4 linked regions of the Tamandua tetradactyla genome follow. The protein of the gene in region 2 purifies or fractionates together with the protein of the main gene of each other region. This does not show direct contact. Links are inferred from orthologs where the notes say so. Each region holds a gene or a part of one and is shown on either strand. Other genes may lie near its edges. The genes, in order: PABPC4, G3BP1, MKI67 and ATXN2L.

Region 1 (7,371 bases), on a different chromosome or scaffold from region 2:
TAAGCTTTATCACTTATAAAGGGTTTTGCAGCCTACCCACAGTAGCTCAGGTGGGACAGTTAAAATTATCCCTATCATAGACTGAGGAAACTCCTTGAAAGGATGGTTTCTGCTTAAGGTGATGATGCACGTGGGCCCCGCACCTAGTAGGTTCCTGTGTCTTCTGAACCTGAACATCTGAAAAGTGCTGAAGCCTTAAGCTGAGTTCTGTGTAATTCCAAGATTTCAATGCCCTGGTGCTCACCCAACCAGTTCTCCATCCAGTGCCCTGGGACTTTTTCTCAGCTTCCCAACCAAGACAATGTTTGCACCATTTAAAGGACCAGAACCTAAATTATAATCATCTGCAGCCGGATATACTTGTCTTCAACAGCAGCAACAAGGACACCCAGAGCTGGTGCCACTTTTCCAAACTTACACTATTATCTCATGGCAGTGACTTCACTAAAGCAATAACATCACTTAGAACTTCCATGAGAAGATTCACACAGCGTCAGAGTTGGGGAGCTTTCTCCTACTTTAAAGCATCCATTCGAGAACATTTCACTTAAAAGATAGACAAAATTCCCTACCCACCCCTCCACAGGCTCAGCTTTACATCAAGTCAAGGGAATATCTTTTTTTCCCACTTATTTCCAACAATCTTTCCCACATCTGAGAAAGGCAGCTTGCTCAGTTATGAAGGGGAAGAGAAGATGGCAGTACAGAGCCATAGAAAAAGCCCAGGTATAGGACTTTGCTTGTGATAATTTTCTGTGATACACAACTGGGAAGCCCAATTGTATTTTACTAATAAGCAGTAAAGACACCCATTTCGACCCAACTACTCTTCTATTTCCAGATAGCACTGCAACAAGGCAAGTCAGCTTAGTCTGACAAATCTGGCTGCACTTATTTATAGCAGGGAGAGGTCCTGCAGAGGTATGTGTTGGCAGAAACACTGATCAAGCTTCTGCTACTATCTCCAAGTGACAGCACTTTTGTTCAGAAGAGGTAAGAAGGCAGGCAAGAAATAATGTATATACCCCCACTTCCTCCTAAAAAGGCCACACCCTCAGACACCTTCTCTGTACTTATGTGGCCAGAGACAGAACTCAGCTGAGTACACTGAATTGACAGTACGCGGTGCCTTGTCTCACTTCAACCCAGGCCCAATTCCCTGCTCTCAGCTGCATCCTAGGAAAGTTACATTCTCTGTATTTGCTTTATGGAGTGAACAAAGTGGGGACAAGAGTAGGGAGCTGGAGATCCTTGCCATAGAATGGCTTATTTCTCCCAGTAAGGGCTCTGCAGTTGTTCCCTTTTAATCTGGAGTCACATGCAGCCCCTGATTGGGTTTCCTTTGGCTTCACTCCTGCCACGCCTGCAGCGTATCTCTCCACTGCTCCAGGCTAAAGTCACAATCTGGGGTAGACTGAACCTCCAACCTTTTGCAGTCCCTTTTTCTTCAAAGGAGTCTTATTTCCCTTCGGATAGGATGAAGTGAAAGATGTTTGCACAGTGTAAAATGCTCTTCACAGCTGAGGTGATAATGCCCACCAGCCCCAGCCACCAGACCAGTGGACTTTCAGGTGGTGCTTCCCCAGCCTAACTAGCTAACATTCTCCACAGTCCAGGGCATGTCCACAGCAAACAATTCCTCCACCCCTGGGGCAAACATGCAGGATAGAGAACTCGCCTGGCTACCAGCTGAACACATGGGTCTGGTGGTGCTAGCACATGTCCCTGTTTAATCCACAGATCTGTTCCTCTGCTTCCTATCTGCCCTGAAAGACCCCTTATCAATATCAAATCAAACTGACTCTTAAGGCAAAGGTGGGGGAGGGGTTAGTAATTTTGCAATCTAAAATTTTTGCAGCGAATTGGGTTTCATTCATCCTACCTTTTTGGCAGGCTTCTGAGGGGCACAAGCCCATGTCCACTGACTAGTACAAAGTCTCTGAAGGGCCCACTCAAGCAGGACCACACACACACAATGGGCTGACAGTGACTTCACTCTGCTCTCCTTTACAGTCTTCTTGGGTTCCAACCCCACCTCACCACTAATTAGCCCAAGGTCACCCAGCCAGCCAGTACGAAAGAAAGATTGAAACTGATGCCAGGTGCCATGTTCTCACCTCTTTCTTTGCCTCCAGCTCCCACTTCAACTTCTGCACAAAATGATGTTTGGATTCCCCCCACCCCACCCCTTCCTGGGAAGTGGGGCGTGCCTAGAAGCTAACTCCCTGGGTCTCTGTAGACCCCAAGATTTTGTGGACAGAGCTCCTACTCACCGTCAGCCGGCTGCTGGAAGTTGACGTACGCATAACCCAGGGAGCGGCGGGTGATCATGTCGCGGCAAACCCGGATGGACAGTACAGGTCCCGCAGGACTGAACTTTTCATAAAGCATGGCCTCAGTGACGTCCGAGTGCAGGTCACCCACGTACAGGGAGGCCATGGGGTAGCTGCTGGCTGCAGCGTTCATCTCCCCACCCCCCACCACCCCGAGCCCCGCCAGGACTTCTTATACGGACCGCCACAAGACAAAAGAGGCTCTTCTCTGAGCCGTAGTCTGCGCTGCGGCTCACAGGTGGCAAGTTAAGCTAAGAGAAGCTGGAGTAGGCTCCGATATACAGGAGCTTGGGGAAAGCTCGTTGGAGAGACTCTGCAAAACCTCAGACAAAAGGCTCTCAAAAACAATATGGCCCTCCCTGGGGGGGTGGGGTGATGGTGGAATTTTCAGCTGTCCTGGTTTGAACCTACAAATTTCAAAAAATATGACGACGGGAATCTCCTTCCGAGTTAAACACAAATTCTCCAAGAGGCAATCAAACGCTGCCCACAGCGGCCTTCGGGACACGCGTTTCTCTATAAATATAGGCCTCGGGGTCCTGGCGGTTTAAAATTACAACAGCCAGGGAAGAGGGAAACAAAATATTCGTCCGTGCGACTCCGCAAGCCCCAGGCGGACGCTGCGCGCAGCCGCCTCCCACGCCGGGCTCGGGGAAGGGCAGCGCCGACACGTGGTGCGCCGGGAGGCCGGCCCGCAGGAAGCGAGGGGCAGCAGGACGCGCCGCGGAGCCGACGAGCACCGAGGCTGCCACGCGGCGCGTGCGGACAGGGAGGGACGCGCGGCGGGCCGGACAGACGGACGCGCGAGGCTCACAGTGGAGACGCGTGGAGGAGGGCGGGCCCGCGGCGGGGAGCGCACAGGCCCAGGCGGGCAGGCACGGGCGGCTCACCACCGGACCGACAGACGGAGACGGACGCGAGATTCCGGCGGCGGCGGGCGCGGGGCAGGCCGGAAGCGTGCAAAAGTGACTCCTCGCAGGTTCTCCGAGAAGGATTCGGTTTTTTTGACGTTTTTTTTTAAGATTTTAAAGCGTTTTCGTTTTTTTTTTTCTTTTTAATCTTTTTCTCTTTTTTTCTTCAGGCTGCTGGGCCTGAAAGCGGCGAAGGCAGCGGCGACCCGGGGCGGAGAGAGGCGGGTGGGGGAGCCACCGCTCCATTTATACCCGCCCGCCCCGGGCGCTGCTGGTCGAAGGGCGCCTCGCGACCTGGGCGCAGCCGTGCCCGCCCACTCGGCCCGGGTACCCGAGGCGGGACGGTCACGCGAGAGCGACCCGGCGCGTCTGCGCGGCACCACAGCGACACCTGGCGGTGGGAGGACCGCGCTGCCGCTGGCCGCTCCATTCCGGGCTCCAGGCAGAGTGGACCTCAGGTATCCTGGTCCGGGCTTTCACCAGACCCAAGGACTCCTTTGCATAATAAATATATTACAATCCCCCCACCCCCTTTAATCACCCGGGAATGGTGATTAGATAATATAACCCTTAGATAATATAACCCACCCACACGCATAAAATTAAAAAATCAATGTAAAGGATGAATACTGTATGATATTACTTATTTGAAATAATTAGACTATGCAAATTCATAACATTAAGAAACTAGAATACACGTTACCAGGGGCTGGGAGGGAGTGGGGAATAGGGAATTGATGCTTGATTGGCTTGGAGTTTCTGTTTGGGGTGATGGCAAAGTTTTGGTAATGGATGGCGAAAATGGCACAAGTTGTGAATGTAATTAATACCGTCGACTTGTATAATTGAAAGTGGATAAATGGGAAATTTTTGGTTGTATATATGTTACTAGAATAAAATTTTAGAAAAAAAATAATAACAGTGCAGGGGTGCGAGCATAGTTCGGTGGTAGACTCTCACCTGCCATGTCGGGAGACCCGGTTCGATTCCCCGCCCATGCACTTCCCAAACAAACAAAGAAACCAACAAAAACAAACAAAAAATTCAACAAATGGTGCCGCCATAACAGGATAGTCACGTGGAAAAAGAATGAAATGTGACCCCCGCCTTACAGCATGCAGGAAAAAAAAAAGGACAACACGAAGAGTGAACCTGAAACCAAAGATAAACTATGGACTATGGGCAATAGTATAATAATTTTTTTCATCAATTGTAACAAAGCTACCACAATAATGCAAAATGTTAATAATAGGAAAACTGTGGGAGTGGAGTTTATGGGAACTCTGTACTTTCTGCTTGATTTTTTTTTCTGTAAACCTACAACTGCTCTAATAATTTTAAAAAGCTAGAAATGACCAAAAAAATGTAATGCCTAATTGGAAAATAAAGATGAAATAAAATGATTTACTGAAAAAGACTTAAGGGTGCATGGGTGGTTCAGTGGCAGAATGCTCGCTTTCCATGCGGGAGACCCGGGTTCAATTCCCGGACCATGCACCTAAAAAAAAAAGTTAAAAAAAAAAAGAGGTAAAATAATTTCCAAATAAATAATAAGTGGCTCAGTATATAAATATTTGGGGCCCCATACTCAAGAAGACATATGGAAATTCTCAGAATCTGGGACTTAAAGATAGAATCGTCCAGAATGTGGCAGCTAGAAATGCAGTGGTTTCTGTGGGTAGTGTGATTTGCTGAAAAGATTAACAGATTTTGGTAAAGCTTCAATAAAACAAAATATGATTATCCCTCTATTTACATGGTAATGGCATTCCTGTAAATTTAGTTTCTATTTAAAGGCACAAAAATATCTTCTGTTTCCATGTAAAAGGGAGTTAGTGCCTAGGCTCCTGTAATTATAAAGAGAGTTTTCATCCACCTGAGATCTGGCAGGTCACTTGAAAGTTGTGGGATATGAAACAATTCTATGGTATGTGGGACTGTCTCCATGCCTAGCAAACTATATAGCATCCCTTCGTCCCTAAACACCAGGAACTCTCCATTATTTTTTTTATTAATTTTTAAATTAAAAAAATATATATTACAACAAATGCAAACATTCTTAACTTATGATCATTCCATTCTACATATATAATCAATAATTCTCAATATCATCACATAGTTGCATATTCATCATCATGATCATTTCTTAGAACAGTTGCATCAATTCAGAAAAGGAAATAAAAAGACAATAGAAAGAAATTAATGCATACCATACCCCTTACCCCTCCCTTTCATTGATCACTAGCATTTTAGCCTAATATATATTTTAACATTTGTTCCCCCTACTATTTATTTTTATTCCATATGTTTTACTCATCTGTTGATAAGGTAGATAAAAGGCTCCTCCATTATTTTGAGAACCAAACCCAGAAATTACCAAAAGGCATGCAAACTCACTGAAAACTACTGATCTAAGTAAATGAATGAAGAAATATACATATTTATATATTCATTCATTCAAATAAATAATCAGGGACTATACTCTATGGCAGTGCCAGCTATAAATGCTGGGGGATACCATAGTAAATATGACAGATGTGGTAGGTTGAATTATGTAACCCAAGGAAAGCCATGTTCTTAATCTTAATCCCTATTCCTGGGAGAGTGAGCTCGTGTATAAACAGGACCTTCGAAGATGTTATTTTTAGTTATGGTATGGCTTAGTATAATCAAGGTAGGCCATAATCATTGTTACTGGAGTCCTTTATAAGCAGAAGAAATTCAGACACAGTCAGAGAAGGCCACAGAAAAAAGCCACAAGTTAGTGGAAACTGGAAAAGCAGACACAGAAGAAAGAGATCACCATGTAATGGGAGGCAGAGATGCAAGCCAAGAAACCCTAAGGAATGCTTAAGTAAGCCAGCGTCAGAACGCTACAGACTTTGGGGAGAGAGCATGATTTTGAACTCCCAAAGCCAACTCATTTGTTCTAGCAGCCTGGCAAACTAAGACAGGAGGGAAAGTCTTCCTATAAATAGGTCCCCTCCTCCGGGGAGCCTTCCCAGACTGCCCAGTCTAAGGTAGTCTGCCACTGTTAATTATTATCACACCATCCTGTCTCTTTGTCTTCAATGCTCTTATTACTACCTGAAATCACAAATTACATTGTGTGTATGTGTGTGTATCTGTTTAAAGTGCCTGTCTTCCCTCCACTGGTATATAAGCTTTGTGAGAACTGAAACCTAGAACCGTGCCTAACATGGCACAAAGCTCTATTTAAGCTTTCAATAAATATTTGTCAAATAAATGAAGGAATGCTGGGCACTGATGAGCAAATGCCTTGATTTGAATTGCATTTTTATGAAAACATCTCTGGTTGCAATATGGAAACGGTTTAGAGGATGGGTGTAAGGGGACATGCAAGATGATGGCAGACTAAGGTAATGACCATGGGGCGGGGGGGGGGGGGGGGCGGAAGTGGTTTGGTTTAAGAAATAAGTAGACAATAAAAATTGTAACTAATTAGATGTGGGAGGTGAGGGATTGAGTCAAGGAAGGTCCCTAAATTTCTTGGAAATCAAAACATTTACATTTCCTACAACTGACACAAGATTATCACTTTGTTTTAGAGGGGGGAGATATGTAAAGCCACCAGAAGGAGCCTGGAGTCCAACCTGCAAAATTAAACAATACCTGATTAGGGCTCAATGTTGGGTAGGAAGAGACTGAACCAATAACCAGGCCAGTGATCTGAAAGTGACTGGCCTAGGCAGGTCAGTACGAATCTACCTTTGCTGGGATTGGGCGTAAAGCTTCAATAAGAGCTTTTGGGGGTGGAGTGCTAATATTTTTTTCACTGGGGCAGTCTACTTTCAGAAGAACTCTGTTCTTCAGAGATGACATGAACATATCAAAAGAAAGAATGTGTTTGGGGTTGGGAAGAGGAGGAAAATTCCTTAAAGGCACGTTTGGGTCTGATAGGGAGATGGATGCAGGTCTCTGAAGCTGAGGCCTCAGAAAGAGAGAAAGATAGAGAGTGAAAGTGAAAAGGATAAAGAAAATTTCCTAACATGCCTGGCTTATTTTTGCTATATTTCACTTCTACAGTAATCACTGTACCCTTCTAAGAAACATCCCACCCACTTTTACCTGAACCTCTCTGAGTGGCTTTCTGTTTCTTGCAACCA
Region 2 (7,525 bases):
AGATCTCAGAGTTTGGTATGGGTTACAATTCCACAATTTTAGGTTTTTACTGTTAGCTGCTCTAAGGTACTGGAGGCTGAAACAAGTATAATGATTCAGCACTCATACTCATTTGTTAAACCTGACCTTCTCTGTATAACTCCACCATCACCTTTGATCTTTTTTCCACTCTTTAGGGATATTTGGGCTATACCCATTCTAACTTTTTCATGTTGAAAGGGCTATCAATAATATGAGATAGGGGAATGGAACTAGTTGATGTTCTGGAAAGGCTGGCCCCTCTGTATTTCAGGACTTATCTGGTCCAGGGACCCATTTGGAGGTTGTAGGTTTTGGAAGGTTACCCTAGTGCGTGGAACCTTTGTAGAATCTTATGAAATGCCCTAGGTATTCTTTAGGATTGGCAGGAATGGTTTTGATTGGGGTTTGGCAAGTTATGAAAGGTAGCAATGTTTAACTGAAGCTTGTGTAAGAGTGACTACCAAAGTAGCCTCTCAACTCTATTTGAACTCTCAGCCACTGATACCTTATTTTTTCCCCTTTTGTCAGGACAGCATTGTTGATTGCACGGTGCCAGGGCCAGGCTCATCCCTGGGGATCATCCACCCCTAGATGTCATGTCCCCCATAGGGGGGAGGGTAATGGTTTCACTTGCACAATTGGGCTTAAAGAGAGAAAGGCCACATCTGAGCAACAAAAGAGGGCCTCTGGACGTGGCTCTTAGGTATACTGATAGGTAGGCTAAGCTTCTCTGCTATATACATAAGCTTCACAAGAGCAAGCCTCAAGATGAAGGACTTGCCCTTTTGATTTGGTCTCAGCCTGTTTTCGTACTTCAGAAATGGGAAATAGGGCTGTTGTGAAGATTAAATGAGATCATCTTTGTAAAGAATATCAACGAAGTGCCAGGCTCATGATGTGTGCTCCATAGGATTTGAGGAAGTGAAGCCTTTGCAGACAGTGCCAAAGGAGGAAGTAATCCAGTTAGGCATGTATTTCCAAGTTAATAAGGATCTGTTTGGATCTTGGTATGATTTTTTGTACAATAAGGAGTGGAAAAAAAAGAATTCAGTGAGTGGAGGAAGGAAGCCTCATTTTCAAAACCCTCAAAACCTACAAAGGTAAGTGTGGCATTCCACCTGGTTGGTTTGTTTTAAAGATCAAAGTTTCCATATTTGCAGTTCCTTGTGCCAGTATTAAATTTTTTTAAAATACATGCACATGGTAAAACAAACAAACAAACAAACAAAACTTTACTGTACCAAAGTTTATAGAATGGAAAGGAAGAGTTTCTTCTTTCCTGGCCCAAGTTTACCTCCCTATTAGCAATTAGTAACAGTTTCTCGAGACTCCTTTCGGACATAACCTATGCAGACACAGCAAAATCAAAGAAATAAATAACTATAGCAACACTGTGTATCAAAAGAAATAATCACCTCATAGCTACTCTTCCATTTTTACACAAATGTTTTTTTCTATATTTCTTCTATATTTTGCTCTCTTCATGTGTTGATTTCTCTTAGAGATCATTCTATAACCATACATATAGGTATATCTTGTTTTCTGTGTGGCTGCCTAACAGTCCATTGTAAGAGTGTACTGTGTTGTATTATATCTATACCAATCTCATATTGCTAGAGATGTGGACTGTTTCCTCTTTCTACTAGAAACAGTGTTGCAATGAATATTATTATACTGGGTTCTTACCCACAGGTGAGAGTTTAACAGTTAAGACTCATACATGCACACATTTGCTTTAATGCAATTTTATTGAGATAAAGTCACAGACCATAGATGCCATCAGCACACACTTTTTTTTTCATGAGGCAGGCACCGGGAAATGAACGCACACACGTTTTTCATAAGGCTTAGCAAACTATTAGCTATGTTTGCGAAACACTGATCCAGATGATGTTTTAAGGGCCATTCTTTAATATTTCTCACACCCTTCCACTTCTTCCATCAGACTAAGTTTTCTGGGTCTTAGCATGCTTCCACTCCCTCTGATTTTCAGAGCTTTGGGGAGGACTGGCAGAAAGAGAAGAGTGAGGTAGTATATTGGAGGGGATTGTAGAATTTGCTTGGCAATGGAGATCAAGAGCAGAAGGACGCTTGGGACTTTTCCTTAGAGAACTTAAATTAATCTCCTAGAGGAGAGTTTCTCAACCTTGAGCTTTATCCAGTAGATGCCAGACTGTAAATTTTTGCCAATTTGGGCTCACTAGAGTTTCAGTTTGGAGTGTCATCTTTGTAAAATGCAAATCTTAGCCCACTTTAAAAAATCCTCCAGGGGCTCTCCACTGCCCTCAGAATAAAGTCCGGATTCCTTACTATGAGCTACATGATCTTAGAGGTTCCTTAGCTCAGAAAATTTCAGCCACTTCTTTCCTCTAGGCTGATTTCCCTCCTCTGCCAGCCAGTTCCTCCGTCTTGGGATCTCCTGCCCCAAACGCAGAGCCCCAGTCTGCTGAATGGGTGAGGTTAAGCAGGGACAACGACTTGATCATTCCTGACCCCCAGTCCATGCCGCTCAATAAATGCTGGATGAGCGAGGCTGATACGGGAGCGGAACCTTGGAGGACCAGATGTGGGACCACAACCCCCAAGAAGGTGCTCTTTCTATCTCTCCTGTGGCCTCCCCGCGTCTCCAGTCTTCGCGGCCAGGCTTGGCCTCGGGAGGTCCAAAGAGGACAGGGCCAGTCACGCTAGGCTGCTTGCTGCGGGCGCCCCTTTTTCCTTCCAGCCCGGGCTGGGCCGGCCCAGCTCAGTCTTCTCTCCTCCCACAGAGACGACGCTCAACTTACTTCACTTCCAACTTTCTTAGTAAAACTTAACGGGAGACCCTTCTGGATGGGCACAAGGCTGAAATGAGAAATTACTGGGGCGTGTCTGCGCTTTGGAACTCAACAAATGTCCACATAAAACGCTCATGGTGACCAAGAGAGGGCACAACAAAATGGTAAGAGACCGGGGCAGAACCTGGCTGGGGCGTCACTTGGCCCCTTAAGTATTTCGGAAAATCTTTGGAATGTCCATCTAGGAGTCTGACAATTTAACTTTTAAAGGAGCCACGACACGAAGAAAACAGCAAAATTTCCTCCCGCCCCCCACCCCCGCCTCCCTGCAATTAAAAGAGGAATGACAATGGCGGTGACGCACAGGATGTTGCATCAAGGTCCAAACTTGATCCGAGCATTTGCAAACTACCGTTCCTCCGCAACGACAAAAAGGGAAAATCTGATTAAAACACCCACGAGCCTCTGATTGGGCAGGCCAACAGCAGCACTTGCCAAGAGGCAACGGGGTAGAAATCTGTGCTCTCAAACTTAACAGTTTCACACGTCACCTTTTTGTATTACCTTACAGACACAACAGGAGTTACTTACTTCTTGTTTCCCTGTAACTGTTGCCCAACAATTATGTCGACTAACTATAAGAGCCAGCGAGGATCCTCAGGGTGTTGCATGGAAATAAAAGACAGTTGCAATAAAAAGGAGAAAAAATACCTAACCGGAAACTTTACCACTTTGTTCCTCTGGTATCAAGCTATGCGCAAAGGGTGGGAGCGGAAGCCTCGGGGGCCGGACCATGCAATGAGAAAGAAAGACCCGAAGCCCGAGCCAGGAAAGGATTACAACCGCCCTGCGCCGCACACGGGCCCTAGGGCTTGGTCGCCTTGGTCGCCTTGGAGCAGTCCAAGCCCCGCGTCAATCAGCTCCTTTCCGCATTGCGATTGGCCGGGGGTCTCCCTTGGACGCCCCAGCGCCCACCATCTAGTTGCTTGGGGTTTACTTCCCCAAAGTACACGGGCTCCACCTTGTGGAGCAACCGCTCCTGCCTGGAAAACGGATCTCCGCCCTGAGGAAGATGTTTTAACGAATGAGAGTAGTTCCCTGCACTTATTGGTTACTATGGGTATCGGTCAAATAACTTCCGCCCCCCTTTCCACTGTACCTTTTAGTTATTGGTTTCTCTTAGTGCCAATCCGTTACTAGGGAAACCGGATCCTCACAGCCTTATAGGCCAGTGTCAAAGCCAATCAAGAATCACGCCTTCACCTTGAGTCAGTACCCAATTGTGGTTCGAAGAGACCAGAGGACGCATTAGGGATTGGTCATCGGCTCGCCCGAGCTGGCCGCAACAAGTTAGGGTGAGTCGTGCTTATATAGACCGGCGGCGGAGCACGCGTGTGTGCGGACGCAGTTGCGTGAGAGATTTCTTGCCATCCGCCCTGCTGTGGAGCAAAGCTTGTTCCTCTCCCACTTAGCCGCACAGGTACACCGGGGTTTGGGCGGGGCTGGGCCGCCCGAGGATGAGGACGGGTCGGGGCCGTGTGAAAGGGAGCAGCGCTAGTGGCACTTACGGCGGCCGCGCGGGGCGCGTCCCCCAACCCCCACCCCAACGGCCGCAGGCACGCGAGGCGATCGGACGGGCGCGCGGCCTTTCCCCGCCCCGCTCCCGCGCCTGGCGCGCGGGGCCGCGTCCGCCGCGTGCGCGTGCCGCGTCCAACGGCCACGCGAGGCGGGAGCGAGCAGCAGTCGCCGCCCGGGCCTGGGGCCATCTCCGGGGTCCTTGGGGCCCCGCGCGGCCCCGTGGCCTGGCCCAGGAGGGAACTTTTCTTCAGAGGTGGGGGCGACGCTGAGTGCGATAACCTGCGAGGCAGAAGTGCCGCTGCGCCTTGGTTTTACAAGGAGTAATGAGGGAGCAGCCGCGTGTATGGATAGCGCTAACAACACCGAGAATTCTTTGTACCCCTCGCTGTGTGCCGGGCACTGTTCTAAGCAGGTCGTATACATTTCGTGTAACTCTCACAACGACCCAAGAGGTAGATACAGTTATTTCCCGCAATTTACGGTGGACTCTGAGACGCAGAAGTAGACGGACATGGTCAGAGATACGGACGGTAAGGGACAGCTATTTTTTTGAATCCAAGCTGTCTCACTCCTAGTCTTGAGCTCATTTTGTTCTTTGCTCTAATACTCTTTGCGGTCCCAGGTCACCTTTGCACCCAGAACACTGGTCACTGGATGCAACCGCAGCTTGGAAAGGCCAACTGCCGAGAAGACTGCGGCGGCATTTGCACTAAGGCCACATAATGGCTTTCAGGAAGACAGACAAGGGCTGGAAGTGGGATTATGACAAAGAAAAGGGGTCTGGGCTTCCTTTCTACGTGTGTTTGTGTAGATAGTTTATAGCTGTGCTGTCCTAACAGCTTCTGGAAAGTGTAGGAAAAAGTGAATTAATGCAAATCAAGGTGGACTATGTTACTAGTCAGGTATCAAACTCAACGTGGTAATGGGAAATTCCCGCCAGCAGAAAGTTAGAATCTGCTAAGCAGAACACGAATTTTTTTTCTTTTTCTTTTTTTAAATCGGAGCAAACTTTTGAGAAAGACCTTTGAGAAGATAGTTTAACTTCCTTGTTTTAAAGTTGAAGAAAATGACGTTTAGACCAGTGAGTTTCAGATTTCACCAACATGTGTGGGTTAAGATTTGAAATAGGAATGGAAAGAACGACTCCCAGTTACAGGATAAATTTGAGCTGGATGGAGTTTAAAATACTGAGTGAATTACCGGTGATTGCGATGTGCTGGAAGTCATACCCTTGTGGCAGTTGGAATCTTGCTTGCCTATATTCAATTCAGCATTTAGCATTTACCCTGCTGGGCTCTCACATATGCAGCAGAGTGGAAGGCACCTACCTGCCTTGCCTTTAAGGAAATGTGTTTATATTTTTCTTGTAGAATTAATTGTATTAGATTTTTTTTGAAGCCAGTATACTCCTTGGCTAATGAAATAATAAATGTTCCTAAGTTTCAAGTCCACATCGTTACTTTGCATTATAAATGCCTCTGCTTGAGACAGAACTATAGTAAAGTTTTTAGGACTCTCTTTTGAACTAGGCTTGAATTGAATAGCTTTCAAACTGTTCTCTTTTTATCTCTTCCTTTGTTTTCTTTCTATCTACCTCTTTCTCTCAAGAAATTTATCTATCCTGCTATGTTTGACCAGATACATTTAAGATTGGTGTTTTAAATAAATGGTTTTTGCAGTCAGAGGGAACACATAGTGTTGCATATCCTTGTAAATAAATTAAAAACAAGGAGGAAGTTTAATAAATGTCTCTCTGGAAATTGATACTACTGTTTCCCATGTTTCTTAGTAGAAACTAGCAATAGATAAAGGATCAAAGTATACAGGCAAGATCTTGCCTTTAGTTGATGTTGCCACAAATAACAGTTTGCTTTGAAATATAACATTGTTCTACGTCGCATGATTTTATGTAGCAATTCCTGTGACCTACATTTAGAGAATAGTTAACTACAAAATTAGTATTTTAAGACATGTTAAGATGTGAAATTTAAGTTTTAGTTATCAAATGTTAGAATACTATAATGACCTACATTTAGACTACTTAATTTGAGTCCAACTAATTTTATTAATGCTTGGGATAAAATGACTGAAATTGCCTTATGCATTGAGGGGAATTTTGTTAGTTTCTCCTTTAAATATTAAACGTACTATTCTTGCCCTCAGAGGAATGGTTATTAGTTGAGCAGAAATTTTAAAAATGATATTTTACAAATGGTACCCCAGTTGATCTTTTGTGCATCAATTTATCACGAACAAGTGAATTTTGAAGCAGGTTGTGGTAATACAAGACTTGAGTCTCCCTATTCCCCAAGTCATGTTATTTTTGTTAAGAGTTAAAAAATGTTTTCAAATTTGAGCTCTTGTACTTTTCTAACAAGTAGAAAAATGTAGGCAGGTCTTTGTCCTTTATTTAACCTACACTCAGCTGACAGTCTACTAAGGGAACTTCAAAAGATTTGGTCATGTTGGTAACCTACTTAGCAATTTTTTTTTTTTGTTTACTTGTTTTAGTATTTTGTATAGAAAGCCAAAGGTCAGCATAAAAAGCAGAGATTAGCTTTCACTTTTTATAGGTTTGGGAATTATATATAGTTCTTAGAGGATACTTGGGAGCCAATGTTAAAAGATGAAATTTAATATAAAGCATGAGTTTGTGGCTTGTGTGTGTGCGCGCTAGTTTTACAAAACTGCTTATCTGGTGTTTTCCTTACTTTTTATAATTAGGTTGGTTTTTAAAAAATAGTGTTTAGGAGTTCAAATATGCGTTGTGTGTTCATTTAATTATGTGTGGTTTAAGGCTACCTAGGACCAAAATTCCTACTGACTTGTCTTGAAACCTTACAAAAGGGCATCACTGTCAAAAGTAGGTAGATTAAAAAAAAAAAAAAAAAAACCCAACTGCTGTACTCCTCCTTCCAGGCCTGGAGTTAAATTTAGATTTTGCAACTGTAACCTAACTTTTAGTCAGTAATCACATTGGAAGTTAACTAGGTTTATAGTTTTAAATACTCAAAATTCAGTTTGCTGGTTTTTTTTCTTTTAATGCCCTCTTAGATACCCTGTCTGGCCTTGGTTAGAGAAATTTGACTTTTAAACTTGGAGACTGGGTGAAGAGCTAAAAATAATCTGCATGTGAAAACTCAAGAGCAGGC
Region 3 (7,966 bases), on a different chromosome or scaffold from region 2:
ACGATGGACACTTATGAATTGGCTTCTAAATTACAAAACCTTACATAAAAATATATTTCATCATTGCTATATAGTAACTAAACTTACTTCCATTTGAGACTGAAATGTTCAGGTTTTTTTTTTTTTTATCTTTAGAAGGGAATGGAAGCTATGGAAAGTAAACAGCTACTTTTAGTCAAAGAACAGAATTTGGTTTTTAGATACAAAACCATCCCAGCAAAAAACAGACTGAGAATTTGTTTGGCAGGAAATGGCTAACAATCACTCTCTTTCAACCATTTCTCAAACTCCGGGCTGTGGACATTTGGGGCCACACGTATCTTTGTTGTGGGAGCCGCCCTGCACACGCCATGTGGTTTAGCAGCATCCCTGGCCTCTACTCCCTGATGCCCAGTAGCACACCTTCCCCCACTGCAACAGTGAAAAATGTCTTCAGACCTTGCAAAATGCTTCCCGGAGCCCCACATTGCCCTTGCTAGAGAACCACTGTTACATGCTGATTCCAAATGCAAATCTACTGAACACTTTACAGAGTGCTAAACAGTGACCATCTCAAGATGCCAGATACCACACCAAGCACTGAATACATAATTATTAACAAGACAGGCCTCACCCTTGGGAAATTCTGTTGAGTGGGAGAGACCAAAAGCACTCATCACTGGTAAAGTGGCTATGCAGGAAGAGAAGTGCTCACGAAAGGCTTCTCTGAAGCGACATGTAAACTGTTATCTGAAAGCGGGAAAGCAATCTCACGTAGGTGGGGAGGGAGAACATTCTAGGCATAAAGTCCATACTGTCCAAACCACCAAGCTGAACGTGAGCCTGGTTTGCCCAAGGAGATGCTGACTTGTGGCTGGGGATGGGCTGGGAGCACCAGGTAAGATGGGAAGGAAGTCAGGGGCCAGAGCACAGAGCTCCACGGGAGGGTGACCGTTCGATAGGATGGGCATAAACTCCGATGGTCCCTGATGAACTGATAAACTGTCCCTGATACATGGGCATCTACTTACAGGCTGCAAAACCAATAATTCTTATTAGGTAACGTGCTCTCTCAGTCCTCATAACCTAACGAATTAGGCAGCACTATCTCTTTCTTCACAAACGTTGAGGTAAATGAAGAGGTGAGAAGTAGCTTGCCCTGTCTAACTCTGGCAGTCTGATTTCTGGGGCCCCACCCCAACCCCTTAACAGTTAAGCTACACTACCTCCAAAGTGTTGTGCATTTTGGTCATTAATGGAAGCCTCAGAGCCGTTCTCAACAAGGAAACCGTATTAAAATTAAAAACTGCACTGGCTACAGTACCAAGAACAGACTGTAGAAGAAAAAGATGCAAGAAAAAGCAGTGAAGAGGCTATTGTGATGGTCCAGTTGGGAACTGGGATGATTTGGGAAGAGAGGTTAAACAATTATCCCCCTGCAGTTTCCAATCTCTGTGGCACTAGCGGCTGCATGCCTACTTTCTGTTCCATCTGAGAGAAGCAGAAATGCGAGATGTATTTTAGAGACAATCTGACATTAAGTATAACCCTACTTAAAAGACAGCAAAAACCTTAGACGTCTGTAAGACAGCTAACCGCAACAACCACCAGACTGGACATGGCTGTATCCAGATGTGGGGATATGAGAAACTGCAGTTCTAGGGCAACCTTTTACTTTTTCACATTTAAGGAAAAAAAGAAGTTCTTTACCTGAGGAATTTTAAAATGTAGACTCGTGTGATATCATATAGCAATGGAAATTCTGTCAATTCTGTCATTGAAAGCTGAGCATGAAAATCCAGTTAATAGCGCCACCAAAAGAAAAAGGCAACCTTACAGGAAAACTTATCAAAATACAAGCAGCATGACTTTCCCATGCTCATTTTTTTTCCAAAAAAAACAAGGAGCCAAACAGAGGCTCCTTCCTTCTCCACCCCAAAGTGTGCCCCGAGAGCCAGGGGCAGCGAGTCAGGGCTTCACACCACCCAGCTGCCTTCTCAGGACTGCGTCAAGGGCACCAAATGTGAAAACCTCTATCCTTCTCCATCTCAAGGCTTTCACCAAATTAAAACACTTAATGTATTTTCAAAATCTCATTTGGTAAAAAACAATTGCCAAATTAAAAGAACAGAGGAAGTACCGAGCTCACCTTCCAAATAAGCAGGTTTCCCGCCGCAGCGGGAAATGGGTACCGTCGATCCCGCTCCTTTTGATGACAACGAGGTGGCACAAACGACTCATTTTCTAAACTATATGCAGAGCACGGTCCATACAGGAGCGTCAGGTTTTACAAGGTTTGTCAAAAAACGATTTACCAATAACTCTTTCACCGCAAAAACTGAATAAAACAAAAGGAGGGAAAGGTTACTCTCAAAGCAAGCTTGCTAAGAAGTCACTTTTTAAGAGACAAATCAGAGGCCCCTGGATGTTAACCAAAGCCCCCGCTGCCCGAACCCGCGAGGGTGCCCCCAGGCTGTACCCCCTACCCCCGAGGGCGCCCCCCCGGGCTGTCCCTCCAGAGAATGCCCTCACGCTGCCCTCCCCCATCCACCGCAGCGCGCTCCTCGCCCCCACGCTGTCCCCCGAGCGCAGCCCCAGGCTGTCCCCCAAAGGCTCCTCGCCCGCCAGGCCCCGAATGTGGGCCCAGGCTCTCCGTCAAAGGCGACTTCGCCCACCGGCCCCAGAGTGCGCGCCCACGTTGCTACCCCTCAGGGAGCCTCGCCCGCTGGCCCCCGAGGGCGCCCCCAGCACCGCCCTGGGTCGCCCCGTCCCGCACATCGCCCACCCAGTCAACACCCTCCGAGAGCGCCCGAGCCCCTCGCCTTCACCGGGGCCCACCCGGGACCCAGGAGCCAATGGCACCAGAGACGCCGCGCCACGAACCCCGCCTCGAGGCCCCCGGGCCGGCTCACCTAGACCGACCGCGGCCCGCTCCTCCGGGCCCGTCACCGCCGAGTCCGCCCGGAGCCCCAGCCGCAGCCCGCTCGCGCCACAAAGCGCCGCACCCCGGCTCCGCGGCCGGATCCCTCCGCGCGCCCGCGCGCCACTACCCCGAGAGCCGCGCTTCCTGTCGTTCAAATCCAAACAGCGATTCGAATTCCGGCGCTAAGCGCTGTGATTGGGCGGCGCGGGCCGCGGGCCGGCCAATGGGGACGCGGAAGGGCGGGAGGAGCGCACCGGGCGAGGTGGGGGAACCCAAGTTCGAGGGGGGCCCGCGACCCCGATGCTCACGACCGCCTGGGGTTGAGCGTCCGGGGAGAACGTGGTATTCTTGTCCTGTAGAGGAAAACCTAAAAACACCGAACGTGGGGCCTGATCCCAGGGCGGAGATAAACTTTCCTGCCTCGTCTTTTTTAGGGCCCGTACGCGGCGCCCCTCCTTGCTACAAGGCTAAAATGTTGAAGTCCAGCTTCCCTCGCCGGTCCCTGCCTCTCCCGGAAGAGAACCAGTTATTTCCCGCAGATTCTTGTGTATTTTCCCAGCATGTAGTCTCTTTTTCAACATTACACAAAAGAGCATATACACATTATTCTGTAGTGTTCTCCGCTAATGAATCCTGAGGTCAGCTCCTGTCAGCATAAACTCGGCTTCTACTTTCATTTTGACGCCTGCACACCATTTGCTTAATTTACTTGATCGTGCCATTGCTATTTCGGTTTATAAAGCTTTGCTACTAGAAACAATTTTACAATTAGAAAATCTTACGTGACCACTGGATGAATCTTAAAATAATTATGCCGAGTGGAAAACAAATCCATGCTGACTGATCCCATTTATATAAAACTGTAGAAAAGGCAAACTAGTCTATCGTAACAAAGCAGATCTATAGTCCTTTGGGGGTAAAGGGGATGGTGGAGAGAAAGGAGGGGGAAGTATAAAGAGGGCTGAGTAAACTTTTGAGGGCAATGGATATATATGTTCACACTTTTCATTGCAGGGATGGTTTTCACAGATGTGTTCAGCCTAACCAGATTTCACATTTTAAATATGTGAAGTTTATTGTACATCAGTTACATCTCCATAAAGCCCCTTTAAAAAAAACCAGTGCATGCTGGCAGGCTTTGCTGAATACAGGAAGGCAAACTCCTATCAACAAATCTGTTGGGTCAGAAGACATGCATATGTAAAATTGTTACGTTTATGACCAAACTTCTTTCTAAAAAGTTTGAGCTAGTATCTTCTTTCCCCAGTAAGGTGCCAGAGTGTTGTTTTCCCTACAGACCAGCTCAAGTATATTGATGACGATCATTATTATTTAATTGATGTCAATCTAAGAGGCAAAAAAACGAACAAAAAAAAGATGAGCTGTTTGGTTTCACGTCTTTTTTTTTTTGGTGAATGAGATGTTGGTGTCAGTATTCGTTTCCTGCAGCTGCTGAAACTAATGACCACAATGTAGAGCCTTACAAGAACACGAATTTATTATCTTCCAGTCCTGGAGGTCAGACGTCTGAACGAGTCTTTACTGGGCTAAAATCGAGGTGGACTGCTGCATGTCTCATGGAGGCTCGAGAAGGGAGTCCAGCATTTCCGGTTGCTTTCCTGGGCTCCTGCAAGCCTCTCATCTCTAAAACCTGGGGCTGCGGGTCTTTCTCCTAAATCATGCTGACTCTCTCTCCTCTTTCACTTACAAGGACCCACGTGATCACATGGGATCCGCTGGAGTTTCCCCTCAAGGTCAGCTGATTAAAACTTAATTCTATCTGCAACCTTAATTCGCTGTTGCCATGTGACATAACACAGTCACAGATTCCTGGGATAGATGTGGGCAGTTTTGGGAATGGGAGAAGCATTATTTGCTGACTGCAGTATCCACTATATTTGTTTTACTTATATGTTCTATTTTCCATTTTCTCTTATTTTTGTCTATCTTTTTACTTAAGTTTTTCTTAAGGAAATTAACTCTCACATGTACTGTAATTTTCTTTCTCTGTTGGCATTTGCTTTTGGTTCAATTAATAGTCCTTTAAAAATTGTTATACTTAAATGTTATTGTGTCCTGCTTAGGAGAGGCCTGCCCATTCCAAGATTATAAAAATAACCTCTCTGAATTACATTGTAAAAGGTACCTCTGCCTTTTGCAGAAAAACCAGATGGTAGAGGTGAGAAGCAGGCAGAGACCAATTGGGAGACCCCTGCAGGAGTCCAGGGTGGGTGGTGAGAAGGGCGGGTTGTTGGATCTGAAGTGAAAGGAGAAGTGGCAGGATTTGCTGAGGAATCAAATGAGCCGGGGGGGGGGGGGGGGGGGGGGGGGGGAGTCAGGGATACTGCTCAAGAGTTTTGGCTTGAGCAACTGGGTGGGTGGCAGTTTTGTTTACTCAAAGGGTCAACCTAGGGAGGGTTTTCGGTTGTGTTTTTCATGTCTTGTGTGTGTGTGTATGTATTTGAGTGTGAAATAATCATGAGTTCAGTTTGCGTTTGAGCCCCAGCAGTTGGATATATGTGCCTGGAATTCATGGGCCCAGGATTGAGTTATGGGTTTACTAGAGTGCTAGTAAGCAAAGGGTTCAGGGTTGGAGCCTGGGTGCCCTCTGGCTGCAGGGAGAGAGCAGGATTCAGCAAAGGAGGCTGAGAACGAGCAACCAGTGAGACAGGAGGAAAACCAGGAGAGCTTGTGCTTCAGAGAAGAGGTAGGAGGGACAAAAAATGCCATGCTGCTGAGGTGCTGGGTGACATGCGACGGAGACGCGACCTTTGGCTTTGTCAATTGGAGGCCACTGGTGACCATGACATGAAAGTGGCATGGTGGGAACTGGTTGGAGGGGACTCCTGGGAGAACGGGAGGGGAATGAGAACACTTCTTCCCGGGAGTTTAGCTGTGAAGGTCAATGAGGCACTTGCTAGAGGAAGCTGGCCGTCCAGGGAGAGCTTTGTAAGGATGGAGAGAGGTTCAACATTCAGTAACATGCTTATGTATATAGTTTTACGTTTACATTTATGCTGTCTTTACCTGTGAGAATGAAAGACACACCTTGAAGGCAACAGGGGAAAGCAGAATAAAATTCCTTAGTATTTTGAGGTGTTTTCTTTACGCATACAGTTTTGTTCATAATTTTCACATTGTGCATAATATTTTCCTACTGTGCTTTTTAAAATTTTTTCATTAACTCAAAAAATTGCACAGACTAAATTGAGCTCTGATTTTAAAAATCATATGAGTTTGTTTCTTCAAAATAACAGACTTCCTAGATGAACACACTGCTTTTTATCTTTCTGAGGCCCTTGGCTCATGTTATCCCTTCCTGCCCCAGAGTCACTCCTGTCTTTTTTGTTGTTTTCTTCAGAGACTGTGGGGGCAGCCTGGTGGCTTCCTTTCTGGGTGTGGTCCAGGTGGGCATACCGGCCAGCCCCGGGGGGAACAGCGGCCCGCCACAGCGGGAAGGACGCCCACAAGGGACTGTGCGGGGCCTGGCGTGAGAAGCCCCTCCCCACCCCCAGCCCAGGCCTGAAGGGTGAAGTGGGGAGTTAATGAAATTGACTGCTGGGGAGGACCACCCACCACATCCCACAGGTGACATTATGGGGACTAAGTACCTCCACCTGACTCAGCCCACAGGTGATTTCCAATGGCCCAACCCCCTGGGTGCAGAAGGTCATAGCCTGGGAATGGGGCACTAAGAAGCTACCCAGCAGAGTGGGTGAAAGGGCCTGTCTATCTCAGGTTAAGGCTGGCGCAGGGGGACTGGGGAAGGAGTGGGTGGCCCAGGATTGCTCCCTGGGGCTGACCAAGTGGGCCAGCATGGTGTGGTCCTGATGGAGCCCGAACATGTCCCCGGCAATGCCCAGCTCTGCTGATTTGAAAGATGTGTGTCCCCTAGAAAAACCATGATTTAATCCTAATCCCATTTTGTAAAGGCAGCCATTTCTTCTAATCCCTATTCAGCATTGTATGTTTGAAACTGTAATTAGATCATCTCCCTGGAGATGTGATGGAATCGAGAGTGGCTGTTAAACTGGATTAGGTGAAGACATGTCTCCACCCTTTTGGGTGGGTCTTGATTAGTCTCTGAAATCCTATAAAAGAGGAAACATTTTGGAGAATAAAGGATTTGGAGAGAGCAGAGCAGAACGACGTAGCCACAAGAAGCAGAGTCCACCAGGCAGTGACCTTTGAAGATGAAAAAGGAAAGTGTCTCCGGGGGAGCTTCATGAAACAGGAAGCCAGGAGAAGAAGCTAGCAGATGATGCCAGGTTCGCCATGTGCCTTCTCACTTGAGAGAGGAACCCTGACCATGTTCACCATGTGCCTTTCCAGATGAGAGAGAAACTCTGACTGTGTTCGCCATGTGCCTTCTCACTTGAGAGAGAAACCCTGAACTTCATCGGCCTTCTTGAAAGAAGGTATCTTTCCCTGGATGCCTTAGATTGGACATTTCTATAGACTTGTTTTTTTAATTGGGGCATTTTCTCACCCTTAGAACTGTAAACTAGCAACTGATTAAATTCCCCTTTTTAAAAGCCATCCCGTTTCTGGTTTATTGCATTCCAGCAGCTAGCAGACTAGAACACCACCCTATCCATCGCCTTCCTCCCTCTCATCCACACTCCTTGGAGCTGAGTTTTTGTTGCTCAGGAGCGGTGGTTCTCCATGTGTGTGGCGGGGGCCTAAGGGTCTCCCATATCCTTTTGCGGGGGGTGGGGGGGGGCAAAGAGTTCAACACCATGTTCCTAATAACACTAGACATTGTTTGCCTGCTTCGCTCTCATTCTCGCACATGCGTACAGTGGAGTTCCCCAAACGCAGGTGCAGATGGGAGAATCCAGGTGTCTTCTAAAGAGATTTGCAAGAATGGAAAATAATGCCCCTCTTCTCACTAGTTTTTCTAGGATGTTGGTTAATATAGTTATTTTTTGTAAAAGTACACTTTTAGGGTTGACATGAAATTGGGTCATCATTATATAAAATGAATTATTAAGTAAATACTTTAAACATTCCTCTGTTTTAGCTTCAAATGGAGTTAAAGTATCAATGGACATAATCCACATA
Region 4 (7,908 bases), on a different chromosome or scaffold from region 2:
GTCTGAAGTAGTGACGTGGCACCATACCTTTAGTGGCATAATTGAAGTCAACATTTCTGAAGTGGACAAGCATGACATCACTTGGCTTAAACACCATGGTATCCACGATATCTTCCCGACGAGGACCACCTGCTGGCTCAGATGCTTTCCTGTGCACAGCATCTACTGCTAGTTCAAACTACAAAAGGCCCCATTCCCCAACACCCAGGGGTCAGTATCAAGAAACGAGAAAAACAGTTTTTCTTTTACTCTTTGCAAATTTTCCCAAAACCGCATCACATCTTTACATGTATTATATTCTCAACACCAGCCACAGGACTTAACAAAAGCCCCAAATTTGTTCAGAATCTTGTTTTTTATACTTGCAACACTATCCTGGCACAGGCCTAGATAAATGGCTAACAGAGCTATAATGTCATCCAACACCACTTAATTTCACACCCTCAATGAGTCTATTTCACTTTCTTCCTTCCATACAACTCTGGAAATAAGTTAGAGTACACTTACCTTTGAGCTCAGAGTCTTGAAGATACCTTCATAGGTGGTACCGTTTTTCACCTTTACATCACAAGTGGAACCCTGGAAAAGTAGGAAAAATAAGGAGAGTGTCTTCAGCAAACTGACTCACAGTATTTTTCAACCTAAGCATTAGGTACTCACCACAACAGCTGTAAGGAAATGCAGCATTCTGGAATTGTTGTAGACACCCTCAAACACCTGTCAGTAACACAGAAGGAAGAAATAAGAGAGGCAAGTATTTCACATTCCACCTAAATACTCCATTCACACTCACCTTCGTGTGCCCTTCTGACTATTTTGATATCTAATCTACCCTATGTTCTGACATAAGTGTCTTTTAGGCCCTTGTATCTTGGGAAAAAAGGGCACTCACCGGTGATTGTGGGGGTCCCTTTCCTGTACTCTGTCCCCTGTAAGAGAACAACACAAAAAATTAGTTATTTAAACCTCATCAATTCCTTCTTAAACCATTAATTTTAAAGGGCTAGGTATCCCAGAAGCAATTCCTTGTGACGAGGTGATTTAAGGCTACACAGCTATTAATCAAGATTTTCAAACCTCACCTCATAGAAAAAGAGGAACAAGCCTTAAGAGCCAGGAAACACATTCCCTGCAAATACCAGTAAAGTAGATCTCAATCGACCATGGTCGTCTAATTGCTAGGAGGAAGGGCCAATTTAACACCACCTTCTCACTTTCTCCACGGGCTGATGGCTGCATGCTCCTAACTGAACAAAGCTACAGTATTAGATCACCAATAACCCACCCCATATATAAAAGATGGATGTGCCCGGTTCCACATTACCTCCCAAACAGAAAAGACATCATTTTCAGCAGCCTCTTGCCCCAACCCTGGGAAGAAGGCACCCCCCTCCAGGCCCTATCCCCTCGACCTCGTTACCCATTCAGCTTGTTACCAACTCTGTGAGGTCACCAATCACCCTGCAACCCTGCTCCTCGCTGGCTGATGTAACCGGTGGCTGAGGGCGCAGAGGGGGCCGTTGGCGGGGCTGGGGGACAGCGCAGCCGCAAAAGCCTTCCACCGGGAGGCCTCGCCCGGTCTGCGCCTGCGCACTAAAACCCACAGGCCTCTTCAAAATCCCCCCTCCCGCGGTCAGAACCCACTGCGCCTGCGTGTACCGCCACTCTCAATGCCATTAAAACACATACACACAGGAGAAACCGAGAGGAGCGTCCAGTACCCATCCACGAACACCGGGAGCATTCCTCCATGCACCCTCCTAGCCCCAGTCCAAGATGTTAACCCGGGCACGCGAATGCCCGGGTCATAAGACAGAGCATCCGCGCGCACGTACAGCAAGAGCGCGCGCGCGCTGGAGGTTCCTGGCCCGCAGTCCTCCCAGTTGTCCCTCCTTCCGTCCCCCTCCGCCTACCCCGCTCCCCTCCTACTGGCCAGATCGGGAAGGGGGAGGCAGCAACCCGCTCTCAAGTCCCTCCCTCCCCATTGGCCAAACTGTGGGCCGCGCGCCCCCCTCCATTGGCTACAGCCGGGGACCCCTTTCTGCAGCTGACTCCCCATTGGCTGAAGTCGGGGACCGCGAGACCCTTCGTGCTAATGGAGCCGGGGACCCCGCTCACCTCTTCACCCCCCCCATCTCCCGGTTCCGACGGCGCTGTCGTGGGGCGCCCCGCCTCCCCTAAAGCCTCGGGTCCCGAGCCCTGGCCAGGCCCTGAAAGCTCAGCCAGGTTCCTAATTGCCTGGTGGTCGCCTGGGGACCCTTCCTCCGACCTTTGAGGACCTGAGGGGACCCACCCCTAGCCTCACGGGGGCTTCCCGGGTGCCCCCAAAGGTGGCCAGGATGGGGGGCCCGCCCCATGCGGATGTGCTCAGGCCCCTGTCGCCCGGCCGGAACCGAGCCGTCGCCTCCTCCCCTCAGCCTCGGCTCCCCCGCCCGGAAACCCACCCCTCCTCACCTGGCGCTGCCGATGGCGGTTGCCCCTGATCTCTCTTGATGCTGCGGAGGCTGCGGCGTCAAGATGCCCTCGGCTCCCCGGCGGAGCCCGCTCCCGGCAGCGGCTGCAGGCCCCAGGCAGGGGGAAGCCGTCGCGGGAGGTCCGGGCGGAGCCGAGCTGGAGGCCAGCGGCCCCGGGACGCCGCCGTTGGGAGGGCTGGTGCCCCCGGGAGGCCGGCGGGCCACGGCCTGTTGCGTGGGGGGCGGCTGCTGGGACTGGGAAGTCTGTTGTGGCGGCTGAGGCTTCAACATGATGGCAGCGTCCGGAAGGGGAATTCGGGGGAAGGGAGGAAGAGAGGGGGCCGGGGCTAGGCTCCCGCCGGAGAGCGCGGGAAGCGAAGGGGGATCGGGAAACTGGGGGCCCGCCGTTGGCGGGCAAGGGGGAGCCCCGCGGTGTCGGGGGTGGATAGAAAAGACCGCGGTACGAGCAAGCGCCGCGAGGCGGAAGGGGAGGGGGTCTCGCGGGCCGGAGGAAAGCGAGAGGGCGCGAGCCGGTCTGGCGCGCGTGCGCGTCGCTGGGGAAAGGGGAGGGGAGGAGCGCGCGGGCGGGAGCTCCCTAGGGGAGGGGGGAGGGAGCGGCGGCACGAGATGCCAGCGCGCACCGGGGCGGTTAGCTCCGGGCGGAAGAGTAGAGGAGAGGACAAAATAAGGTGAATCTCGCGCCCTTAGTCTTGGAGTGGGGAAGGTAGAGCGCGGACGCTCACGCGCGACAAGGATTTAAGGTCTCTAGGTCTCAAGCAACCCTAGAAGCTGGTAGCCGCTGTCGCTTCACAATGAGCGTGTGAAGCGCTGGGGGAGGAGCCGAGGAGGCAAAGGAAGAGCCGGCCGCCCCTCCTACGCCGGCTTCCGTAAGGTCGTGATGCCTCCGCAGTTGTGTGAGATGTCTCCACGTTGCGTGAGATTCTTCCGCCACATTGGGAGGCGGGGGCCGTGGGCGGAGTCCTAGGTGCAAAAGAATTCCCGGGACTGAACAAATTGCGGGGATAGGGCTTTCGAGCAGGTGGTAGATTTCGTAATGAGCAGCTCTTATCCTATGCGTTAAAGAATGACTGATGGGACTTAAAGGCGGTTTTAGCGTCCTAATATTTGCAGATAAACTTATGCCTAATCCTGAATTATTTTAAATTTAAATTATTTTACATCTAAATAGTTTCTCCGCGCCTGAGAACGAACCCTTAAGCTGCAGTAACAAAGAGTATGAAGGTCAAAATTCCTAAGGTTTAGTTCAAAACTCTGCTCAGCCCACTGACTCGATGATGAAGGCAGCATTCATACATTCAAAATTGGGCACTAGGCTACATGCTTTGAAAACAATGGTAATTAAACCACTTCCTGCCCTCAAGAAGATCAAACTTCATGTTTATAGCCAATTAACTTTTGACAAGGGTGCCAAGTCCACTCTATTGGGGAAAAATAGTTTCTTCCACAAATGGTGCTGGGAAAGCTGGAAATCCACATTGTAAAAGAAGGAAGGTGGACTCCTGCCTCACACCACACACATAAACGTAACTCAAAATGGATCAAAGACCTAAACATACGAACTGGAATTATAAAACTGCCAGGTGAAAATTTGGGAAGCATTTTCAGGACCTAGTTTTAGGAAATGGTTTCTTAGTTTTATACTCAGAGCACAAACAAAAGAAGAAAAACAGGTAAATGAGACCTCATCAAAACTTTTTGTGCATTTAAAAACTTTTGTGCATCAAAGGATTTCATCATAAAGTGAAAAGACAACCTACACAATGGGAGACAATATTTGGAAATCACATATCTAATAAAGGTTTAATGTCCAGAATATGTAAAGAATTCCTGCAACTCAGCAATGAAAAGACAATCCAATTCAAAAATGGCAAAAGATGTAAAAAGGGATTTCTCCAGAAAAGATCTATAAATGGCCAAAAAGCACATAAAGGTACTCAATATCATTAGCCATGAGGGAAATGCAATCAAAACCACAATGAGATACCCTTTCATACCCACTAGAATGGCTACTATCTTTAAAAAATGGAAAATAGCAAGTATTGGACAGGATATGGAGAAATAGAACACTTCATTGTTGGTGGGAATGTAAAAGGATGTAGCTGCTGTGGAAACTAGTTTGACAGCTCCTCAGAAAGTTTAAGTATAAAATTACCATATGACCTGCAACCCCACTTCTAGGTATATGCCCAAAAGAATTGGAAGCCATGAAAAAAAACAGATATTTTTACACTGCTGTTCATAATGGCATTATTCACAATTGCAAAAAAAAAAAAAAAAAAAAAATGGAAGCAAAGCAGGTGTTCCACAACCAATGAACAGATAAACAAAATGTTGCATATATATGTACAATGGAATACTATTCAGCTGTGAGAAGGAATGGAGTTCTGATAGATGCAGCAGTGTGGATGAACCTTGAAGACGTCATGTTGAGGGAAAAAAACCCAAAAGAATATTGTACGATTTCACTTATACAAAGTAAGAATAAGCAAATTTGTAGAGTCAAAAAGTAGAGTAAAGGTTACCAGGGCCTGGGATGGGTGCAGGGAATGGGGAATTAATGCTTAATTGGTAGTTTCAGTTTGGGATGATGGAAATATTTGGTAATGGATGGTGGTGATGATAACACAACATTTTGAATGTAATGAACACCACTGAATTATAGAATTGAAAGTGGTTTAAAGGGGAACTTTGAGGTCGTGTATACGTTGCTAGAATAACATTGAAAAAACAACAGTGTAAAAAAAATAAAAACAGCAGCAAAAAAACAAACCACAAACAAAAACAATGTAGGACCGTACAACACAATGAATCCTAATGTAAACTATGAACTGTGGTTAACAGTACAATGATAATACTCATTCATCAGTTGTAACCAAGATACCACAATAAAGTGTTAATATTTGGAGGGGGAAGTATGTGGGAACTCCGGAAAACTACAACTTCTCCAATAAAAAATGCATTAAAGAAATAAATTTTAAAAATTCAGTAAAAAAAAAAGTTCAACCTAGTTGTGAATTTAGTTAGATGAAACTTAGTAGGAGATGCATAGGACACTTTGAGAGTGGATAGCAGTGACTTTCAATTCAGCGCTGGTGAATCTACACTGAGAAGGTGATGGGGAGATGGATTCCTAGGCAGAGGGACTAGAATGCAGCAAACTAAGAAAATTCTTCTGGTTGGAGCGTAACATGAAAGAAGGGTATTAAAAAGAGAGAGAGAGAGAGTAGAGGTAGGTAAATTGTAAAGGTTGAAGTTGGAACGAAGTAGTAAAGGTCCCTAAACCTAGTTAAAAGATTTGGACTTTATTCTCAAAGCAATGGGAAGCCCTTTTTTTGAAGATGAAAAGAGATCAGGTTTGCCTTTTTAAAGGATTACCCTTTACAACGTGGAGAATGGAGTGGAGCAGTGATGGGCCTGGGATCTTAATCTAAGTGAGATTCTCAACATCCCACTCTCTCCTTGTTCTGGCATTAGCACTGAAACTCTTCCCGACTTCCGACCTCCTTCTCACCCCTCGTCTCACAGCCAAAAGTCTGCCTTACTTTTTGGAAAGTCTTCCTGCACCTCTACCTCACTGCCAGCTTCCAGTGGGCAATTTGTCCCCCCTTTCTCTAATAGCTCATTTAATTCTGTCTTCCTGCTAGTGTCAGCACAATGCAGACAGTTGATGCAAGGGGACTGAATCAGAGTGGTATTTTAAAGATCTTATGTCTCCCGGGTGCCTAAATAACAGACTTCACCTTTTTCCTGGCTTTACCTCCCCCGTCTGGTGCCACACCACCACTTCAACACTTCTTGCCTCCCACCACCACTACCAACTGTGTCCTGCCTCCACATTCAAATTCTAAGTTTTAGTCCCATTAAATTTCCATTTCCACAACATGCCTTACCTTTACTTACACGCACTATTTCTTCATCTAGAATTCCCTCCCTGATTCTCTCTCTATCTCATTCTTCAAACTCCAGTGTCAACCCTTTGGAACTTTCTGTTATTTACTTCCTCCTCTGGGCCCCCAGAGCACTGTGTTGCTTTTCTTTCTGTCTCTGCTTTCCTTTGGAGTCCAAGGTCCTGAAGAGCAGGGACTGTATTTCACTCATTTCTCTATCCCTCTGGCCTAGACTGGCTGGCACCCAGCCACTTAATAAATTGTTAGGTGAACAAATGGAATGTTCTTTTATTGTATGCAATTTAAAAACTCTACCGCTTGGTTCCTAAATCAGATAAGCCCTGAAACCCAGAGATGCCAGTCTCTCCAAGAACATCAGCCAGTTCCCTCCCCCTACCCTGTATTGTTGATACCCATTCCAACATGAAAAAATTAGAATGGGCATAACCCAAATATCCCTAAAGATTGGGAGAAGGATCAAAGCAGAAGAAGGAGTTATAACAGAGAAGTTAGGATTTCCCACATGAGGATGACTAATAAAAAGCAGTCTCCAGTGTCTTGGAAGAGCTAGAAGGAAAAACCTGAAATTGTGGAACTGTAACCCATACCAAACTTGGAAATATGTTCTATAACTACTTGATAAAATGTACTTCAAAATGTATTTTTTTGTATAAATGTTGTATTTCATAATGAATAATGTTAAAAACAACAACAACAAGAACTCAATCGCTATGATCTGCTATGGAGTGATTTCCAGGATATATTAAGTGAAAAAAAAAGTGCAAAAGAGTATAAACTATGCTAACTTTTGTGTAAGAAAGAAGGGGAAATAAGGAAACAAATGTATCTTCAAAAAAACCAAAACAACAACAACAAAAAAATAAACAACAAAAAAATCTCACTTAGATTAAGATCCCAGGCCCATCGCTGCTCCACTCCATTCTCCACGTTGTAAAGGGTAATCCTTTAAAAAGGCAAACCTGCAAAAGAGTATAAACTATGTCAACTTTTGTGTAAGAAAGAAGGGGAAATAAGGAAACAAATATATCTTCAAAAAAAGCAAAACAACAACAAAAAACCACAAAAGGAATAAACCAGAAACTAATAAAATCGGTTACCTATGGAGGGCAGGGAAAACTGGAACTCCCTGGTTATTGGGTTTCACTCTTCTTGTTGAAGGAGACAGCAGAGCTACGGTTGAGATGGACAGACATTTTTTTGTGTATAGATTTTCATATAGTTTTTTTTTTTTAATCATTTTTGTTATCTTCATATAGTTTTGACTTTTCACATTCTGGTAATGATACGCATATTAAAAAATTATATCAACAAGGATGAGAGGGCCCCCAAACATTGAAAACAGATGTGAACAAATGAACCTGATTTTGTTTCAGGTGAATAAAATAACCACATTGATGGGGGGTGGCAGTAGAACCAATTCAAGTCACTTTCAAGTGAGGCAAGATAGAATAGGGCATCGAAGCTGCGCTCCCTGGTTTCTTACCCAGCTCTGAAGGAGTTAATGCACAACTGCAAACTCCCTAGAA

Evidence for each region.
Region 1: the proteins of G3BP1 (region 2) and PABPC4 purify together in Homo sapiens (affinity purification with mass spectrometry; 4 studies listed by BioGRID and IntAct, with this or other methods). This does not show direct contact. The link is inferred for Tamandua tetradactyla from reciprocal best matches to the Homo sapiens genes G3BP1 and PABPC4.
Region 3: the proteins of G3BP1 (region 2) and MKI67 purify together in Homo sapiens (affinity purification with mass spectrometry; 3 studies listed by BioGRID and IntAct, with this or other methods). This does not show direct contact. The link is inferred for Tamandua tetradactyla from reciprocal best matches to the Homo sapiens genes G3BP1 and MKI67.
Region 4: the proteins of G3BP1 (region 2) and ATXN2L purify together in Homo sapiens (affinity purification with mass spectrometry; 4 studies listed by BioGRID and IntAct, with this or other methods). This does not show direct contact. The link is inferred for Tamandua tetradactyla from reciprocal best matches to the Homo sapiens genes G3BP1 and ATXN2L.

The regions. Positions count from the first base shown.
Region 1 is NC_135328.1:185,798,843-185,806,213, reverse strand, and holds the start of PABPC4 (polyadenylate-binding protein 4), read right to left. Parts: upstream 2,896-7,371; 5' UTR 2,806-2,895; coding exon of another isoform or gene 2,759-2,805; 5' UTR 2,467-2,758; coding exon 2,274-2,466; intron 1-2,273. Other genes in the region: uncharacterized protein LOC143658260, read left to right, coding at 2,759-2,805, 2,896-3,312, 3,415-3,781.
Region 2 is NC_135346.1:32,603,262-32,610,786, forward strand, and holds the start of G3BP1 (ras GTPase-activating protein-binding protein 1), read left to right. Parts: upstream 1-4,521; 5' UTR 4,522-4,696; coding exon 4,697-4,903; intron 4,904-7,525. UniProt on the Homo sapiens protein: Protein involved in various processes, such as stress granule formation and innate immunity. Plays an essential role in stress granule formation.
Region 3 is NC_135339.1:90,698,009-90,705,974, forward strand, and holds the start of MKI67 (proliferation marker protein Ki-67), read right to left. Parts: upstream 3,005-7,966; 5' UTR 2,892-3,004; intron 2,318-2,891; 5' UTR 2,221-2,317; coding exon 2,129-2,220; intron 1-2,128. UniProt on the Homo sapiens protein: Protein that associates with the surface of mitotic chromosomes and acts both as a chromosome repellent during early mitosis and chromosome attractant during late mitosis.
Region 4 is NC_135349.1:25,006,728-25,014,635, reverse strand, and holds the start of ATXN2L (ataxin-2-like protein), read right to left. Parts: upstream 3,003-7,908; 5' UTR 2,745-3,002; coding exon 2,455-2,744; intron 1,856-2,454; exon of another isoform or gene 1,836-1,855; intron 1,816-1,835; exon of another isoform or gene 1,753-1,815; coding exon of another isoform or gene 1,694-1,752; exon of another isoform or gene 1,690-1,693; intron 1,601-1,689; exon of another isoform or gene 1,421-1,600; intron 1,404-1,420; exon of another isoform or gene 1,348-1,403; coding exon of another isoform or gene 1,325-1,347; intron 930-1,324; coding exon 893-929; intron 718-892; coding exon 661-717; intron 580-660; coding exon 508-579; intron 179-507; coding exon 28-178; intron 1-27. UniProt on the Homo sapiens protein: Involved in the regulation of stress granule and P-body formation.